3 linked regions of the Daphnia pulex genome follow. The protein of the gene in region 1 interacts with the protein of each later gene in a pairwise test. Links are inferred from orthologs where the notes say so. Each region holds a gene or a part of one and is shown on either strand. Other genes may lie near its edges.

Region 1 (6,362 bases):
ATATATACCTGCGCATACAGAAGAAAAGATTTTTAAAAAAAGAAAGAAAGAATGAGCGGTCGAGACGTGATGTTCAACCATTTTTCACGAAAGTGGAACGTACGAACTACCACAGCGAATCGCGCGCCATTTTACGCAGCCGTAACATAATACAACCAATTGCATCGAAAGATGTATTTGAAATAACCTCTGGAATCTTATGACTTATTGAAGTTGCCAGTGGAGAGATTTGCCCGGCTCAGAGAGCTGCTGCTAACCTTTTCCAAAAAGAAATGAAAATGTGTAAAGTGTCGATAAGCTGAGCTCCTTCTAAAATGTTGATCTTATCATGAAGGCATTAAGTGCCTTCACGGTTCTTTTTCTTAATAGACTCGCAACGCTTTTTTTTTTATTTTTTAAAAAACATTTTTCACCTTTTTTTCTTTTTGATGGGTGGTGGACATTTTATATGGTCGCCACAAATAATACCGGACACATTTTCAAAGTGTGATTTTTTTTGTTTTTAGACATTTTACTATTTAACATTTTTAAGTGTGTGTGGCCGGATGTGATGAAGAGATTTGGAGAACCGTCAAAAGTCCTTCACTTTGAATTTTTCATTTGAAATCAGCGAAGCGAAATGTGTCGAGCAAAACGGAAATCTGCAGTCCTGATGCTATTTTCTAAAGCCCATACTTATGCCGGAAGAAGAAGGAATAAACACTAAATATATATCGTCCGTCTGCTGTGTCCCTCCCAAGTCAACAGCATATGTGTTTCCCCAAAAAATGAAAAACCCTCCTGCTGGGCTGATCTTTGACCTGACAAGAAGCCGGGCTTCAATTTTCTCGCTCACTCGAGTCTTGGACTCGACGAATTGGAATTTAATTCACTGGCCACTTGTACATTAACTACCCCTCTATACCAATTCAATTTCAACTTTCACTTTGACTCTACTTCACTTTATTCTTACTTATTCTTACACCATTCTTGTTGGTTCAAAATGTCAAATGAAGTGAACGTTTGCTTAACCAAAAGTGGACAAAATAATGCTTAAACACTTATTATCTATGAACTACAATAGATCCTAAATAAAGAACTTACTCATTTGGTTAAAAATTTCCAATATGGTCCATAACACCTGAATAAAAAACCGCGAAAATGTACAACCTGCTCCATGACTCCATTGAAGAATAACTGACAAAGAGATTCCCGAATCTGAGCTGTGTTGCAATTTCTAAATTGCTAAATTTAATTTTTCTCGAAGATGAATAATTGAATACGTGTGTACAAATATTTTTTTTAATAAAATGTTTTTAATTTAATGGCTATAATTTCAAGATTGCGAGTCAATTATAAAATACTTTAATTAATTAAAGTCATTAAGTGATCTTTGACAACGTGGGTGGGTGAAAAACAATGGAGTGGGATGGGAAGTGGCAACTGCCAATCACAGACGACGAATGTGAAATTCGGTGTGTTCTTTTCAAATTTATTAAATAAGTAGCCGATTTCAATGAAATTTACGCGTAACACCAACTACATTAAAATACTTAAGTTTATTTATTTCACTTCGGTCAACACTAAAGTATAGTCAAAGTAAAATAAAATTGGGTTAAAAGTACACATTTACCCGCTGGCCTATACCGCCCGTGTATTATTATTATAAGTACTTTTGAGTGTCGTCCACTACTTTGCATTTTTACCCTCAGAAAACCAAAAAAAAAAACCCTTTTTTTCCTTTTTTTAAACTTTTAATCCGCTGTGTGTATTTGGCGGATGGAGGGAATTCCGCATGGGGTCAAGTCAACGGAAAGGGAAGTCTCCCACTTTTTGATAAATGAACTCCCCCCCTTCCACCCCCTTAGCAGAGGTATACAAAAACGGCCGATTGATCTCTCCTCTGGCGGGTCAGGAGAATTAAAGAAGAAGAAGATAAAAGGTAAAAAATAAGGGCGGAGCACATCGTGTCACTTATACACACTCTCACCAAAAAAATCCATTTGGATTTCATTTTATCTTCTTCAAATGTCTTTTTGTTCCGGAATCGGAATTAATCCGAAAAGCATTAAGAAGAAAGTGGATGGAAGCGAAAAAATGAAGTGGCCCCCGTACTATACTATATAGAGTGTCGTAAATTGGTCGAGGAATTTTATATAAAGATTGTGCGCATATCTAAGTAGATGTAGAGTAGGTGCGACGTTGGCTACTGCGGCGGCAGCAGCCAGTTTTTCCTCCGGTCGTAAAAACGGAAGAAGAAACAACCCAAAAGGAGAGTATACCGAATGTACAACAACGGAAAGCTTTCGTCACTGCTATAAGAAAATTGCGGTTTCGTCTGGGAATCTATACGAGACATTGAAAGGTGCAGGACACTTTTCCTAAAGTATAAAAAAGAAACAATTGACCAACTTACTACGTCTTCCTAGTTTTTATTTCTCGACTATTAAAATCAAGTGCTGGGGAGTGTATCCGACATTATTTTACCGCTTGTGGGTCTCGATGAATAATAAAGAGTATTACATTCTCTTTTGAATTTGTATACAAGTTAATTTAAAAAAATAAATAGGCCATGGATATTTAAAAGACAAACAATTTTGAGGTGGTTCTTAGCAATTAGGAAGGAGGGAAGTCCCCTATAACGTGAATGCCGGAACACGGCCAGCGCTGTTGACCAGCAATCGGAACAAAACTACCGAGTGTGGAAAGCGATTGTGTCATCACCGCAAGCCGGAAACTACTGCGGTGTGGCCTTTTGTCACTTAGTTGGAAGCATTTTGTTTCTTCGTGGTTTTTTTGGGAATTTATTCTTTTTTTCTTGTGGAGGTGTGACGGGACTTATACCGAGCGTGTGGTCAGCGTTACGACCGCACAGTCCCCCCCCCAAAAAAACTATATAATATGTAGCAGTACAAAACGAAAGTGTATTAGAACGACAGCGGTCGTTTTTTTTTACAGGTGCGTCTTCCAACAGGTGAAGAAAAAAAAGACCCATTAGATAATTGACTGTGCGAGCGTGGACAGGTCGAAATAGAGAGAAAATGGAACTGCTGTAAGGATAAATGATGAGACAACTATATATCCGACGCCTATTCAATTTTTCTTTTTTCTTGAAGTTATTTACCATCAATTGAATGGACTAAAGCCGATATATTAAGTGTCGCTGTGTCTAATCAATTTGCCCGGCAGATTACGTCTACAGGTGTTGTTGGCAGGCACACACACACAACCTTACAGTAAAAGAAATTATCCTTCGTTGTTGACGGATCAACTTACCGCCCAGAATGCCGTTGATGGTATCTCTTCAGACTGTTGTAATCCACCGTATACTACACACGTCTTTTTTAAACTATACGATAATGTCGTACCGTTGGCTCAAGTTCACTAAACACTCGATGGCTGGGCCCGGCACTTTAGCGCCAACTATTCAAGCCGGGAGGAGAATCACGACTCGATTAAAAATGGAAAAATATTAAAAAAAGATTGAATGAATCCAATCAGATTCTGCGCTGCTGCCGTGTCTAATGAGCTGAAATCTAGGCTACGGAGCGATTAGATTACGTCACGTTGTGGCTCCCATTGCCGGCGGTAATGCGATAAGGTAGACACTTTTGTTTCACGGGAGCTCGAATGTGTAATATGTGAAATAATTAAAAAAGGAAAAGAAGAAAAGTCTTTTGACGCCCGATCGAATCTCGGTCGATCGTCGGGAGAGGCTTGTGGCACTGGTGGACACGAATTGGCTCGACACTTTGTAATATACGACACACGCAATTGATATATTTTTCTGGCTACTATTAAACGAATCGGCGTAAAAGGGCAAAGAACACGAATAAAAAGAGACGAGAGGCGACAGACGAGACACGAGAAATCGTCGAGACGGATGTCAAATCGAAAAAAAAAGGAAACAAGAAGTAAAAACAAAATAGAAAACGACGAGAGAGAGAGTCTCTTCTTTCTCGAGTTGAGGTCGGGTTCTCGGTCGCGTCTCGGGGTCGACACGATCTGCGGAACTTGCGCGAGATGGGGAAAAAAAAACGACACAAACTGTGCGCACAATCAAAAATAATCTGATCTTTTTTGGGCGGGGAGAAATGGCGACGGTGAAAAACTGAATGGGAAAACGCGCAAGAGCGAACGTAGAAAGAATCACGCCACTGCCTTCAACTCGGCCCGACTGGGGAGGAAGGTTTGTTGTTGTGTCTTTCGTGAAAACGGTTGCCCGTATAGCGTCCAACAGCAGCAGCGGCGGCGGCGGCAGCAGCACCCGGCAGCTAGAGTCGTGCTGGACGATAACACCAACAAAAAAAATAAGAATTATACACGAAAAACCAGAAAATGGTTAGTGGCGCCCAGCGTTGCCACTTTTCCATTCACCATCATTTCTCGAATTAAAAAAACAAAACAAAATTCCTCGACACTTAATTTCCTTTTTTTTCTTTTAACATTTATTTGATGTTTCTATATTTTACCATAGTTTTTGGCTTGATTGTCTTTTTGGTTAAATTCCTTTTTTCTTTTCTGGTTGCTTGGTGAGACTGGCCTTCTCCCGCGGACGCGGACCTGATGGAAGAGCCTTTTTGGGGTGTTTGGCGGCGCTGGGGACGAGAGTCATCGACTCGTCGACCGGTTATCTTAAGGACGTCTTGATTCTCCCGATTCCTCGACTGATATTCTTCCACCTTTTTCTTGTCGGGCATCCTCATTTGTTTCCTTCTTTTCTTTTCTCCCGAGGAGAAACAAATATAAACGGACGCCTCCTCCCCTCATTGGTTGCCTCCTTATCCGAATGAATGACGGCAGCCTTAATGTCATTTAAGATAATGAAAAATCCCTTTTCTCACTTTAGAAGATCTTTGGGGGAGAAAATCATTTCCTTTTATTTTTTGGGAAAATGAACGGCGGGACAGTTTGTCCTTAAACGCCAAAGAGGCGGAGGGACTGGCGGGGACGAGTTGTTTGGTTGCAGCAGCAGCAGCAGCGATGAGTAAGGCGGCGATCGAGTTCTTGTTTGATGTGTCAGCAGCTTGTTTCTTTCTCTCATCTCTTTGAGGGCTGCTGCTGCTGCTGCTGTTGAGCCATCAGCTATTTTCCTAAATGGCGGATCACGTCATCAGGATAGCAACTGGCGCAGCGATACGGGGAAGAAAAAAACCTTGGCACATTAGGAGAGAGGGGCGTGAATTCCGAACGCAGCGACGACGACGACGACTATAGTAGAGGACGACGACGGGATTTGATTACCGCCGAGTTGGCTGGTCTGTCTGTTAAGTGAAACCGTCGCCACTGCTGCTGCAATAATAATGACTCGATTGCATTTCGCATATAATAATCACTACACAACGGTCTCTAATGCGCGCAGACAGCAAACAGACACAGCAAACGGGCGCGGTTTCCTATGGCGCCGGAGCTGGTTGGCACCGGCTGCTGCTGCCGCTGCTGCTGCTGCTCGTATGTGTAAATATGTGTGTCCGATTAAAACGATAGAAAATGTTGTTCTTTTCCATTCAACCAAAAACAAAACAAAAAATAAAAGAGAGAGAAAGAAAGAGAAGGCCAAGATAAGATGACACCAAAAGACCATAATAATAATAATAATAATAAGCTCCGGCTTCTTCTTCTTCTTCTGGCTTGCACGCTGTTGCCAATGCGTGTCAAAAAGGTTTGTTTGTACCGCGGGCAGCTTTTTGATATCTCACAACTCCCCTGCGTTCAGACCAAGATCCCGAATTGTCAGCAAAAGAAAACTGAACCGCCGGTTTCAACTAAACACCCAACAACATTTGACACACACAACAATGTGTGTGTGTGTGTGCGTGTGTGTGTGGTTCTCTACCGACCCAAAGATATGCAACACACCCACAACAATCAGAGAGCCATTTGAATGCAGCCATGACTCGGATCATTAGAGACTCCCGGGTTTTTTAAAGAAAAAAAGGAAAAATCCAAGAAGAAGAAAATGGAAATTCATTTTTTTCCCTACTGTCAAGACACCAGCAAGTTCATACATAAACATTACGTCAGCAGAAAAAAAAGAAAAAAGAAAAGCGATTCTATTTTCACGCAGCACTTTTTTTTCTCTCTTCTCTGCTGGGCGAATGAATAAAAAAAATATCTACGAGTCTCTTTTTCTTTCTATCGTGTGTGTTCAATAAGATAGAGATGCGCCGCTGCGGCCCACCTTCACGGCGCGTATAAACAACCGCACACAAGAGAAAGAAGCGGGGCGGGCGGGCGGCTCGCGCGCGTTCAGACCCCCACACACACGCTATATAATATGTGTAGCCGTGTGGACTTGTCTGCTGCTATATAGCAGGTTGATGCCCACAGTAACACCCAGCGCCGAGAAGAGATCGGCTCAAAAGATTCCACATTACCGGCCC
Region 2 (6,514 bases), on another chromosome or scaffold:
GGGCGAACTAGCGCTCATAGGAGTGCCCATACTACCGTAAGGCGACAATCCAGGAAGAGGAACAGTTTGATTGGGTGGCCCAATGTTACCATGATCCGGTCTTATTTGCTGCATAGACATTCTCTGTTGCTGCTGTTGCTGCTGAGCGAGTTGATTGGGCACTTGACTCATTCCCACTGGACTGGGTGGTATGGGAGTTGGGTTGCGCATCATCATTCCGCTCGTAGGTGCGATTCCTCGTGCCCCCTGCCCAGATTCCCCAATCCCTGGCATATTAGGCCTCAAACCTGCGTTATTGCTTGGTGGTACAGGTTGTTGTTGTTGCTGTTGTTGTTGCTGCTGTTGCGGAGGTACTTGTTGGCCAGATTGAAGATGGGAGAGCGCGGAAGGAGGCTGCTGTTGCAGCGGCGTCGTCGGCGTAGAAGTAGGCGTTTGCTGAGCTTGTTGTTGCTCCTTGCGCTTTTGACGCTTCTCGTCCAGCTCCTTTTGAATCTTGTAAATCTTCTCAGCCAAAAGGTGATAATACTCGGAGCGGGAATCAGCCATCTTGTACATGTCACTTTCGACTTTCCGAGCATAGGCCACCAAGTTGTGCATCCGTTTATCCAACATTGCCTGTGGATCGGGAGTTGGAAAGATGGCCAGAACGAGTTTCTGAACCAAGTGATTACGCAGATCGGGTGACACCGACTGATGCCACTCTTTAGACCCTTGAACAGGATCGGCTGTGACCTGACTTGGCTGCAGTCCACCAGGCAAGGGAGTTGTTGAATTTACCGGGCTCATCTAAATCGAATAAAGAAAGGGAGTGAATGAAAAAATATTCTGCTATGTAAAATGCATTGTTTGAAATCATACAATGTGCTCAATGTTGGATGCGTTGTCTGAGATGGAACCCCTAATATTCCTTGCCGTGGTGGAACCAGCGGTTTGCTGCTGAGATTGCAGCGCCGCGTTATGAGGAGGGCCACGATTCATGGCACCAGGAGGAACAGGTTGCCCAGCTGCGGCGACGGCTGACGGAGGGTTATTTCCTGCTAACTGGGCATTGTTCATTGGAACCATTGAATTTTGCTGCTGTTGTTGGGGTGGTAGTAAAGGCCTCGGCATCCCACCTACAGCGTTAGGAGGAGCCTGAACTCCTCCGACAGCACCGCCTTGATTCAATGTTGGTAGGATACCTTGACCGGGTGCCGCAGACGATGCGCCAATCGAGTTGGAACCAAGACCGACATCGAAACCGGCAGGACTCGGTTGAGAAGCATTATGAGGAGCTAACAGAACGAAGAAAAATATTTGAATAAATTTCTCCACGAAAAATGAGCAAAAAAATTGTGGTACCTTTATTCCGATCTGCCTGTTTGAGAGGCAGGCAGACGGGGCAGTCGGAACGATTACAGTTTTTCCAATGAGAAATTATCTGCCGCGAAGAGGAGCAGTGAGGTACTTGGCATGATTTTCCCGCCTGGCATGTCGTCATGTGGTTCAAAACATTTTTCATTGTCCGGCAGTGTGGAAGGGTGCACTGTGGTATCAAAAGATGAACCAAAACCATAAGGACACATTATTTAAAAATTTTCGTCGTCTATTCAACGCACCTCTCCGTTGGCCTGGTTCTCTCTTCGCTGGCACTTGTGAGCGTGAAGAAGGAGTACAAGTTGCTGCTGGATCAGTTTCCTTTTCTCGGGATCGGCAGTTGCTGCCGCATTAGCTGCTCCTGCACCACCGGCCGATCCTGCGGCGACTGGCACGACAGGAGTAACAGCTGGGCTTGGCGCTGCCACTTGAGGAGCATTAGCGGCCACTGGTGTGTATTGCTGCTGCTGTTGTTGTTGAGGATGCTGTTGTTGGGCAGAAACCATAGGAGTCTGAGTGACAGTGGATGACGCTGATGATACCATCGGCGCTGAAACCATCGCCGCTGCTCCACCAGGCATCATAACTGGTCGTGCTGACATGTTGGGATTCATATTTTGCTCGCTATTAAACCTCGGTTGTTGTTGTTGCTGCTGCTGTTGTTGTTGCTGCTGCTGCATGGCATTTTGCATTGGAGGAATACCACCATTAGCTGTACCGATAGGTCTTTGCTGTTGGGCTGCCATCATAGCATTTGGCATGTTCGAATTAGCAAAGCCATATTGATTGGAATTGGTCATCACATTCGAGCCGGGCCCGGCATTTGGGCCCATGCCTCCCATTCCACCAATTCCCGGTCCCTGTTTTAATCGAGTTGGTTTAGCTACAAAAGTAAGAACAAGACAGAGCAGAATTTCTTACCTGCAAGCGAGGTCCTTGAGGATTCATCCCTTGTATAAGCTGCCCTCTTAATGGCGTTTGTTGTTGTTGTTGCTGTTGCGGCATCATATTGTTAGGAAGGCCTCCAACAGGCCTAGCACTGCCCATCATGGATTGTGGGCCGTTGTGTAAACCCTGGCTCATTTGGCCGGCATTCATCATGGACCCGGGTGTCTTCATCGACACGTTCACACCACCCATTCCAGTTGGATTCAACATGTTATTCATTGATTGTTGCTGCTGCTGTTGTTGCTGCTGCAACGACTGCATCATTTGTGGGCCATTTCCCATAGAATTCATCATGGGCATTGGGGCACTGCCAGGCGGTGAGTTCAACTTACTATTCAGAGGGCCTTTATTTAAACTACTATTAGCCATGTTCATGTTGTTTTGCCCAATTGCACTGCCACTTATCGCACCACCACTCATATTGTTCAGCGAAGCTTTGTTTTGCATTCCCATATGAGGAAGCTGGTGATGATGTTGAGCATCCATTGATCCATTTTGTTGCTGCTGAGAACCAGGTCCTAAGCCCATCGACATTCCCATTCCAGGATTGTTAGGGCCCATAGACTGGGGCCTCTGAACACACTGTTGTTGTTGTGGAGGCTGCTGTTGCTGCTGCTGTGGCTGGGCAGTCGGCTGGCTCACATTAGCAGTAGCATTACTCCAGCCCCCTCCTGATGTGTTGAAAAGCTCATCAGGCAGATTGCTTTCAAGATCAAATAGTGGATTCCCAATCATATCTATAAAGGAATAAAGATGGTTAGAATCAGAGGATGCAAGTAAAACGGTAAAAGTTGACCCAACTGTCAAACATGTGACAGCTTGACAACAATGGACCAAGTCGATTGTCAAACTCTAAGAATAAAGCTGTATTTATGCATTTTAAAAACAAAATGGTGTTATACCTGATGAATCAGTAGAGCAGTTGCCAATAGCATCATTCAGTTTGGGCCGCTTGTTAGGCGGCCCTTCAATAAGGTGTTCAGCCATGACTTTCTTTAGGTTAAACCAAGCACCTCTTCTGCTAAAAAAGACTCATCGCACAATCTTCCCCACCAGCAGCACATGACACTTGGACAAGTAAAGAGAGGTCATAGAGCACTCTTCTCCACAGCCATTGAGGATGTATGGATGGGAGAAAGACAAGACAGGTAAGATGCTTTCTTCCGAAATTTTCCTTTCTTCAATCAATTAAAGCGTCCAACGCGCCGGCCACTGTATTAATAAATGTTGGTGAATCACTTTGAGGGCGGTAAAACGGAGCCTTCCAGAGAGGAACTTTAGCTTCTTCCGTCGACCGTGCAGAATTCAAGCCTTCCTTCACGGCAACGGCTTTCACTTCAAAAAAAAAAAGAACAACCCCGTCCCACTGTAGTCGTCCGAGGATCTCCACAGTAGGGGTCGCCGCCAAATTTTCAATTTTTATGTAAACTTTTTTTTCGACAATATAACAATCCGTTAACAATCAGCGGCACTACCTAGCATCACGAGGTGAACGATGACGAAAATTTTCCGTTCACGATTTACTTTTTCTTCTCCTGCCACTAGATTTTCTACATTCTTCTTCAGGGACTCGAACAAAATGGCTGCTGTTGATTTCTTAGCTTGGATCTAAGGGTCCAACTCTGGTGGCCAAAGTCGTAAGTTTTAGACAATTTTTCCATCTAAATAGACGCGATAGAGATTTTTGCGATGCAATTCTCAATAATTCTTATCATTTCATTTGATTTCCTAATTTTTAATCATTATTTTCAAATATTTTGCATTCTTGAAACAAACACAAAAATTACATGAAGTGTCAAAAAATTTTACTCAAGCTCATTATAATTCGTGAGAAGCGAATACGACGTTGTCAGGTTCTTCCTTGATTTCATTGTTGTTGAGCGCACATTTTCGATGGAACTTTCTCTGGCGCGAAAAGTTGTTCAGTTACTCTTCGATCTTCGTCATTTGCTCGCAACAAACAGCTAAAAAATAATTAGAATGGGGAACTATATGTTTGGTGAAATCTTTGGAATAAAAATGATATGGCTTCAATAAAAGTAGCTTCGTCGTTTGCCTGTAAAATTTTATTACTGGTTAAAAAATAGATGTGACAGATTTTACTTATTTGTAGATTTTGTAAATTTCAAGATTTTTACTAAAATCTTGATTAAGATATTCGATGAAAAATAAATTATAACAGATTTGAAGCAAACGTCTTTAATGGGCAGAAATAAATTCAAGTGCGAAAGCACAGAACATTGCACACAGAATTGACACAGAATAGCGTCCACAAATGAATCATAAATATCCGCTTAATTAAAGAAGCAGAAATCCAGCTAATCTGTAAAATATAAAAATGCACACATGAACCGCACCAGTATGAATTATTATCAAATCAATCGTTTTTTATTTTATTTTTTAATTACTATTTTGCAAACAAGAAAAGTTTGTTGACCTTTCGTTAAAGTAGATTGATCCAGCGGAAAGTGGTATCCAATCAAATCTGTCCTGACGTGGAAGTAATAAATGACATTTTACCTCAATCGGGGTTGATTTATGTACGCAATAAGCGGTTTAAACCAGAACTTATGACTACAACAAGCGAATTGTAAAACAACCTACTTAATAATAAAATGTTGGAAAGAACAACTTTGAAAAGGTAATACATTCGGAAAATTTACAACCAGCATATTTTCATACAGCCTTGGATTCCTCGTGAGGGTTGTAACTTACAATGCAACGTAACAGAACATTTGGAATAACATCTTCAATGTCGAATGTCAAATATTCGACTACTGGTACAGAAAAAAAAATCTTGCTCATTCTTCGGGACTATTATTCAATTCTTGTCAAGTTACTTTCGTCTAACCGGTAATCAAAGCGATAATGCAAGATTGACGCGATGTATTTTGAAATTTTGTAAAAGTTGAATTGAACCACTTTTTTTTTTTTATTGACTGGCATCATTTCTAGATCTTTAATCGTCAAGTTCGAAAAGCCAAAAAATAAATTGTTGAAGCAAATAATTTCCCTTCTAGAAGCCGGGTTCAGCAACCTTTCAGATGGCTCTTACCAAATGACGTCATGATCGAAGAAAGAAATGGCGGCGGCCGAAGAAGCTCTCCAGTTTTGCAAAATCATTATATCAGTCATGTATTTGTCTTGTTGTCACAACCTGACAAAAAAATATAAACACAACACACACAACTTTTTCAAATAAGATCCTTCAGAGTTCAGACGATCCCCTGTACTTTTTTGACAAGTTGTAAAAATGTCAATTCCATTAATAATTTGCATTTTGGTTTCTTTCTCTTACACGTTCTTATGGCAACAATATATCAACGATACAGTTTTCATAAATGTTTTCAAAACTAAAACTAATTGGTTTTATTGACTATATTTCCCAAACTTTTTCTAAAATCTGAAATAGCCAAGTTTGACAGCCAGCAGAGTTACCAAATGGCGATGTTCCATGGAGGGAGGGGAAGGAATGTGGCAGATAGAAGGAGCGGCTGTCTGTCTTAGTCAAGACTCCTCCCACACATTCACGTGAGAATATGATGATACAAAACGTTTTTCAATTAATCTCTTTTAAATGAGAAAATGACGAAAAGGTCTTGTCACCAAATCCATGAAGATTAGTTAACGTTTCATATTATCGAAAGTTTTGTGTTGTGGCTAGTTAGCCCCGTGTGTAAGTCGGAGGTGAGCAGATGAAAAGTGAAAATGTTACTCTGAGCCTGTATTAACTGTTTGCTTTGGCTGCCACTGTATGCACTCGCTTACCGACACTTGTGCTGAAATATAAAACTATGGTATTGTTTAATAACACTTGTCTGTTGTGATGGCTCTTATTCTAACACCGTAACTTTGTTGTTAGCATTCTAGTTCCACTGTGAAGGTCTCTAACTTCAAAATATCACCCAGAATTCACAACTGGATTTGACAACTCTTGGTTTCGTAGCCCAAAGTTGTTAAAACAGTATTGCTAACAAGTCATATTCTGTAGTAATGCCAACCGATGGGCTGGACCACCACAGATGGGCTGGACCGCCACAGATGTGCTGGAATGCATGTATGTGACAATAGAACAAGCTAATGCTTTCCACTCACCATTAGTAACATATACACAGATGACTTTAACCCTAGACAGTTTTCATTCAAAAAAAGTTATTCGTTGACCTTCTGTGAAGGGTCTTGCAAACCAATCAAAAATATTGAATTTTGA
Region 3 (6,502 bases), on another chromosome or scaffold:
TTGTGCTCCAATTCAGATTCACCAGGTGTGCCGTCTGCGAGTCCAAACAAAAGAAAATTGCCGTGTTATTATATAATATGGGCGAATATTAGATTATTATTATTTTTTTAAATCTACCTTTATCACTGCAAAGTTCAAGGAAACGCATTTCGGAACTAACTCGTTGTTCCTGTAGCTGACGTTCAAGTTCAACTATACGCACATGATCCTTTTCTATTTCTTGTTTCAACTCTTTTTTCTTCTCGTTCTCTTGACGAAGCTGCTCCTTTAGAACCGATTGCTGGTCCTTCATAATGGACAGACTTCGCTCCAGTTCGCCAACTCTAAAATGGGAATAAATAAAGTACCATTAGTTGAGTCAAACGATCCATAGAATTTCACAAATGTAAAATGCAATTACTTCCGAGGAGCCCGCGCAGTTAGATCTAGCAACTCTGCCATGTTTTTTAAACAGTGTTCAAAGCGTATAATCTCAGCCCGCTGTTGGCCGATTGTTCGTTCACCGTCAGTGACGTTGTCGCTTTCTTGTTCGATGGGACTGCTGCATTCATCACTGTTGTCTTCTGACTGTTTCCTATGGCGGGGTGGAATATTTAGATCGGATTGATGAGGGACCCTATCCTGCTTAAGCGATTTCTGAATTTTCTCCTGGTGAGTTTTTGTCTGTTCGTTTTCTTTGCTGTCACGAGTAAAATCCACATATTCCTCCTTTAAAAAGAAAATAATAATAAAGATAGTTAAAAATTACTGGGGAGATCAACGTCAGATCGGCAAGCTAACCTTCAAAGAAACTGTCCGTTTGAGCTCCTCAAGGGTTTGGTGAGCTTTTTTAAGTTGTTTGTTCGTTTTCCATGTAAGGAGTTGTCGTTTTTCTGAAATCTCAGCAGAATGTCGCATTTCTCGACATGCATCGTCTTCCGCATCGCCTCCGACTTTCAGGCTCCCTTCAACTGCCAAGAAGCAACAAAGATGTTTAGTGTTTAAAAAAATATAAGATATCATCGACTATAGGTTGAAAATTCAAAACTGATTCAACTACTTAGTACTTACTTGGATGATTAGATGATGATTCATTATTTACAGATTCTGGAGTTGATAAACGAGTTTCACCTATTAGAGGCTGTTGGTCTACTGCATTTGAAAGACCGAATATACTAACTCTTCGACCAGTTCTTAGAGGTTTCGGACTGGTATTCCCACTTTTATAATTGCTAGTTGATTGTTCGCGGTCAAATTCAGCGTGTTGAGATAAATCAATAGGATTTGATGCACCCCATTCTAAAGACGTTGCGTTATCATACATTGACTCGATGCTTGAGATTAAACGGTCAGTTGTTTCTCTAAATTGCTGCCTTAATATATCCAGTTGCTCCGTAAAGTGAGACCCCTAATATGAAAGAAATTATACGATATTTTCATTTTACGTTTTTTTATGTTAAACAGAATGCTGCATTATTCCCGTTCTTACATCAGATGACGAGTCTATGGACGACCGATCATGCCTGTTACTCAGTTCAGAAGAAAGTTCACGGGTTGGAGTGGGCTCGGATACCTCTTCTACAAATTAATATAATAGTTAAAACGACTATCACACGCACACACTAAAGATTTAGTTACCAATGACATGGAGTGTTTTAGATTCACCACTGGTGTGAAATATGCTTGTTGTGATAGGCAAGTCTGTCAGGTGACTGCCATCGGTATCACTCTGAATTCTGTTTCGCGGTTTGATGGTTAACAAATCGGGATCAATACAGTTTGCGTATTCCTCTTTCAAACAAAGCCAAGATTCTATTTTGTTTTTGGTGTCATTTCCAAGCAACCCAGATGCAGCCAACTCATTTAAAAGTGTTTCGGCGTTGGTCACCAGTAATTGCCACTGACTTGCTGCGAATCGTAATCTATGGGAAAGAGAAATGCAATTGCTGAATGAAAGCTTCAATTTATAAATTTAAAAGTCTGACCTAAAAACTTCATCTCCGTCTGTTTGTTCAGGATCATGATATACAGATCGATTTTCTTCATTGTCCCTCATAGGATTAGCTTGACAAGTAAATGGAGTTTCATTCATTTGAAATTGCGGAATGTTAGGCGGTGACACAAGTTCCGTCACACCAGCCAAATTAAAAGGGCGAGCGTTTATGCCCATTGCCATCAAAGGAATATTAGCTATCGGTGTAAGGCGGACATTCGCTACTGGGCGATTACAAATGTTTGCTGCCCTTGATGCGAACTTCAACGTATTCGTCGTCTCTTCCAAATCAGAAGCCGAAGGAGAAAGGCACACAATCATCAAGGTGAAGGCATTACCACCCAGTGAATCCTACATGAATAAATTTAAATGCACAGTTAGATCGTAACCAAAAGAGAGAGTGAAAAAGAAATGTTTTTGACAAAATAAACACACTTTCAGAATGTAGGTTAATTTCGAATCCCAATAAGGCACGTGGCTAGCTTTTCTTCTAGGATCACCCAATGCAGCCGTGACATTACTTAACGCAAGAAGGCCAGAATTAATGGAAAATGGTTCCTGAAATCCTGTTAGTTGTGTATCGTCGTTTCCATGATTACTGGTAACACCGAGGCCAAGTCTTTCCGATCCAGCCAAGTCGACAAAATGGAGTTTAGAACACACTTCATACAAACATCCATCTGAAAGAAAATATGTCAAGTTTCATTGAGAAAATTATCAACAAAAGAATAAAGAAAAGTAGTCAACCTTGTGTCCATGCCTGTTGCATATAGAGTGTGAAAATTCCATGGGATCTACTTGAGAGTTGATTTAACATGGGCCCAGTATGTCTTAAAGCCAGACCAGTTTCAAGACAGCTAAATACATCATCAATGGTATGACATTCCATTTGTGTTGCTCCAGTGATGATGATTTCTCCCTAAATTCAATATGTAATAATTATAGCATTGCTATTATCAGCAATTTCACATTTAAATTTTTTTTTTTTTTAAATAATACATTTTGATCTTCTTGTACAGTAATTTCACCATGAAAGGGTTCCATACTCAGAAGATCATGAATTTCTTCATCATAGATTTCTAAATAGCTTGCTTGGATAGAGATCTGTCTTCCGGGGTATTCCTAATTAAAAAAAATTCCCAAAATATCAAACAAAAACCAATTTAGTTATTTAATCTTCACATATTTATTACTTCAAACTGTTTACTTTAGCTTTGTAAAACAAGTTACGAACAGTCCGTGGAACCATACCAAAATCAGATTCATTCATGGTGTAGAGCAATCCAGGTCCAAATATTGTAAATGTTTTCCCAGATCCAGTTTGTCCATACGCTATTACAGTTATGTTGAAACCTGACATACCAATACCATATAAGATGACGTTAAAAGTATAAGAAGTTGCATAACAGTTCTTTTCTTAAATTATTTAACAGACCATCAAAACAAGCATTGACAATTGGCTCGACATATCCTTTGAATATTGCCTGTTGAGGACAATCAAATGGGAGAACATTGCCCAAATGAAATAACCGATTGTTTCCCAGCACAATTGTTCCATGGGATGGATCAATTTGAAAATATGGTGTTGGTAAAACATGATCAGTTGTTTGTAGTGAACGAATCTAGTTAAATTTCAAAAATTGTGAACAATGGGTTGAAATACAATTACTTAATGAAAAAAAAAATGGTTAAAGTTCTTGTTTACCCGGGTTACGAGTTGAACTCGGGCTTGTAAATCCCTGTCTTGACTAGCGCTGAAAAGCATCACGACATTGATAATACAGTTAAGAATAGTTCTTGTTGGATAAATTAACCAATTAACAATTCGGATCGCACAACTGACAGTAGGAAAAGATGATCACACAACACCTGACGTAATTGTATATTATTATTTTCAAGGAAACAGAAACAACAACACCTTTTCCCTTTTACTTTAAATGTCAAAAAAAGAAGGGTGTCCGTAAAGTGCAGGGTGCAGGTGCAGGTTGGACGGTGGGTAAAAAGCGGAACCCGGAGTGCAGGGGCCCTGCACTTTCCCCAACCGAGCGGCTCCCTTGGTAAAATACAGGTTTAGAATTCTACACTAAAATGCAGGTTAGGAAAAGTGCAATGTGCAGTGAAATTTTATGTTTGACTGCCTTCAGTCAGTTATTATCCATTTGCGTGTACTTTTTATTTATTGTCTACACTCTGTTGCGCGCTGAATTATGAGGGCCCAAAACCGCCACTTTTTCAATATAAATTTTTTTTCAAAATATCAATACATAAAACAGAAAAGAATATAAAAATAAAAAAATTCAATATAAAAACTGGTAAAAAGTATTACATAAAAACCAAAAAGAGTAATATAAAAAACAAAAAGTTAATATAAAAACCAAAAAAGTCAATATAAAACCCAAAAAAAGTTCAATACAAAACTCCAAAAAAGTTCAATATAAAAATGGCAGCCACCTAGTGGTCAAAATAATAACTTCATGCCACATCTAAACCTCCACTCAACCAACCTAACCTGCACTTTCTGTGAGCAGCATTTGGGCCTGCATTTTACCCACCTACCTGCACGCCGCACCCTGCACTCCGGGTTCCGCACTTTACCCACCGTCTAACCTGCACCTGCACCCTGCACTTTACCAACACCTCAAAAAGAAAGCGCAGCGGCTAGATTTCCAAGTTTACCATTTTTTAATGGCAACTGCTACTTAGCTTTGCACCTTACACATATTTTAAAATACTCGACTCCGTCATGTTGTTCGTCGTCCAGGACAGCCTTTACCTCCCACTCCTCGTCATCCATTCACTGCATTAATCTAAAAAAAAATGGAATTATTAGGAAATTAAAATTGCGAAAAAAATTAATCACGATTACCTTTGCTTTTCAGCTTCAAGAAACTGTTTAAGTTTTTGAATGTCATCATTCTTTTAGCGGAACTGCTTACTCATTTTTCTCGATTGTTCGAAAAAAGCATTGTACATGTTGACCTAAAAAAATTTAATATTAGAAATAATGACATTACACAGTAAAAAACAATAAAAAAATACCAATTTGGCCATGCCATTCTCCAATTGTTGACTGGTGACGACGTCTTCTTCTTCAATTTCAGCTACTTCCCCTACGCCATCGTCCACATCTTCAACATCCATACAAGAAACTTCTTCCTCTGCTTCCTTGAAATTTCCAACAGGCAAAGTTTCTAGTGCAGATACAGGTACAAGTACAGGAGGTTCAAAAGTAGTTCTTTCATATGGAATATAAACAGGATCACCTATTCCGTAGTGAAAAATTTGAGGATATGTACATTCCTAAATTGTTAACAATAAGAAACGTTGTTCAAGTAAAAAATAATAAAATGAAAGAAAACATAAGAGATATACCTTGTGCATTTATCGAAGCCACATTCGCTTTTGAATACCAGTTTCGTTGAACACTTCATACAAATTCTATCTATTAGACTGACGTATAGACGAAACACTGAAGTCCAAGTCCAGTACATATTCATTGTCTTCAGACAAATCATCAGCTCGTAGACAATGATAATTTGCGACCATAAATTTGTGTAAAGCATCACAACCCTCCAAGGTTAATAAAAAAACGTTTTATCATAAAATACTGATCACTTAGGTCTTGACGTTGATCAAGATTAAAATTCGATAAAGATTAAAATTTCCCCAAGATGTTGGTTTAGTTCCACAAAACGCTCTTCTTGTTGACAAAATTTGTTCTTGACCTTGGTAGTGCTCTCCACAAATTTCTCGTAATTCGAAACCTATAAAAACACAACATTGAATATAATAACCCAAAAACAAAAAAAAAATAACTTACCCATAAATTACTTACAAGATTAACGTAGCCATCCTCTATATTTCGGTAGTGTTTTTCTATTTGGTCTTCTTTCGCATTCTCCGTCGGACACCTTTGCCAAATACACCTCCCCATCTTGAACTTCGCTGCTCTTGATGAAGCAATTGATTGAAACGTAAATTAATAAGGTAAATTAGATACAATAAGGTTCATTATTGCATGTAAACATAAAAAAGATCTATCGCAAAGATCCCTAACACCAACTTCGCAATCAAATTCGTTGACTGCCTCTTCATGGCAAACAATGGCCGCATCTGCAACCGCAACACCGGCAACAAGAGCAACAACTTCAGAAACAACATCCGTATTGAATGGAATCTGTTCCGCCGGCAACTCAATTTCTTGTCCGCAACGAATTATTTCAGGAAAAACATTATCCTACATTATTGACCCCCCCCCATATTTAACAGAAATGTACATTAATACTGTCAAATTCCTCAAAAGTAATTAGAACTAAAAATAAAAGTAAACAATAAAAAATCATACCTTATGAATTTTTGCATGGCTCTTAAACCCCGATTCGGATTTGAATACAGGTCGTGTAAGGCAGATGGGGCAGACTCTGTCGATCAAGCAATTTTTATAATGATAATTGAACTGGTAGTTTTTCTGGATGCTTTCCCACATTTTTCATAATTTTTGCAACGGAACATTTTTAACTAAGACTGCAA

The links. The genes of interacting proteins can lie anywhere in the genome.
Region 2: the proteins of zinc finger protein GLI2-like (region 1) and CREB-binding protein-like interact in a two-hybrid assay, tested with the Drosophila melanogaster proteins (3 studies listed by BioGRID). The link is inferred for Daphnia pulex from reciprocal best matches to the Drosophila melanogaster genes ci and nej.
Region 3: the proteins of zinc finger protein GLI2-like (region 1) and kinesin-like protein KIF7 interact in binary tests that used the Drosophila melanogaster proteins (3 or more experiments, as listed by UniProt). The link is inferred for Daphnia pulex from reciprocal best matches to the Drosophila melanogaster genes ci and cos.

The regions. Positions count from the first base shown.
Region 1 is NC_060017.1:6,837,451-6,843,812, reverse strand, and holds the start of zinc finger protein GLI2-like, read right to left. Parts: upstream 4,263-6,362; 5' UTR 3,256-4,262; intron 1,179-3,255; exon of another isoform or gene 1,084-1,178; intron 9-1,083; 5' UTR 1-8. UniProt on the Drosophila melanogaster protein: Has a dual function as a transcriptional activator and a repressor of the hedgehog (Hh) pathway. The full-length ci form (ciFL), acts as an activator (ciA) while ciR, its C-terminally truncated form, acts as a repressor. Involved in segment polarity.
Region 2 is NC_060022.1:5,073,420-5,079,933, forward strand, and holds the start of CREB-binding protein-like, read right to left. Parts: upstream 3,942-6,514; 5' UTR 3,292-3,941; coding exon 3,207-3,291; intron 3,042-3,206; coding exon 2,278-3,041; intron 2,217-2,277; coding exon 1,599-2,216; intron 1,526-1,598; coding exon 1,342-1,525; intron 1,275-1,341; coding exon 859-1,274; intron 787-858; coding exon 1-786.
Region 3 is NC_060028.1:3,196,066-3,202,567, reverse strand, and holds the start of kinesin-like protein KIF7, read right to left. Parts: upstream 3,942-6,502; 5' UTR 3,738-3,941; coding exon 3,678-3,737; intron 3,595-3,677; coding exon 3,408-3,594; intron 3,326-3,407; coding exon 3,180-3,325; intron 3,095-3,179; coding exon 2,972-3,094; intron 2,892-2,971; coding exon 2,720-2,891; intron 2,653-2,719; coding exon 2,408-2,652; intron 2,324-2,407; coding exon 1,965-2,323; intron 1,902-1,964; coding exon 1,618-1,901; intron 1,558-1,617; coding exon 1,469-1,557; intron 1,388-1,468; coding exon 1,051-1,387; intron 951-1,050; coding exon 781-950; intron 709-780; coding exon 401-708; intron 324-400; coding exon 118-323; intron 35-117; coding exon 1-34. UniProt on the Drosophila melanogaster protein: Regulates cubitus interruptus (ci) processing by recruiting multiple kinases to promote its efficient phosphorylation.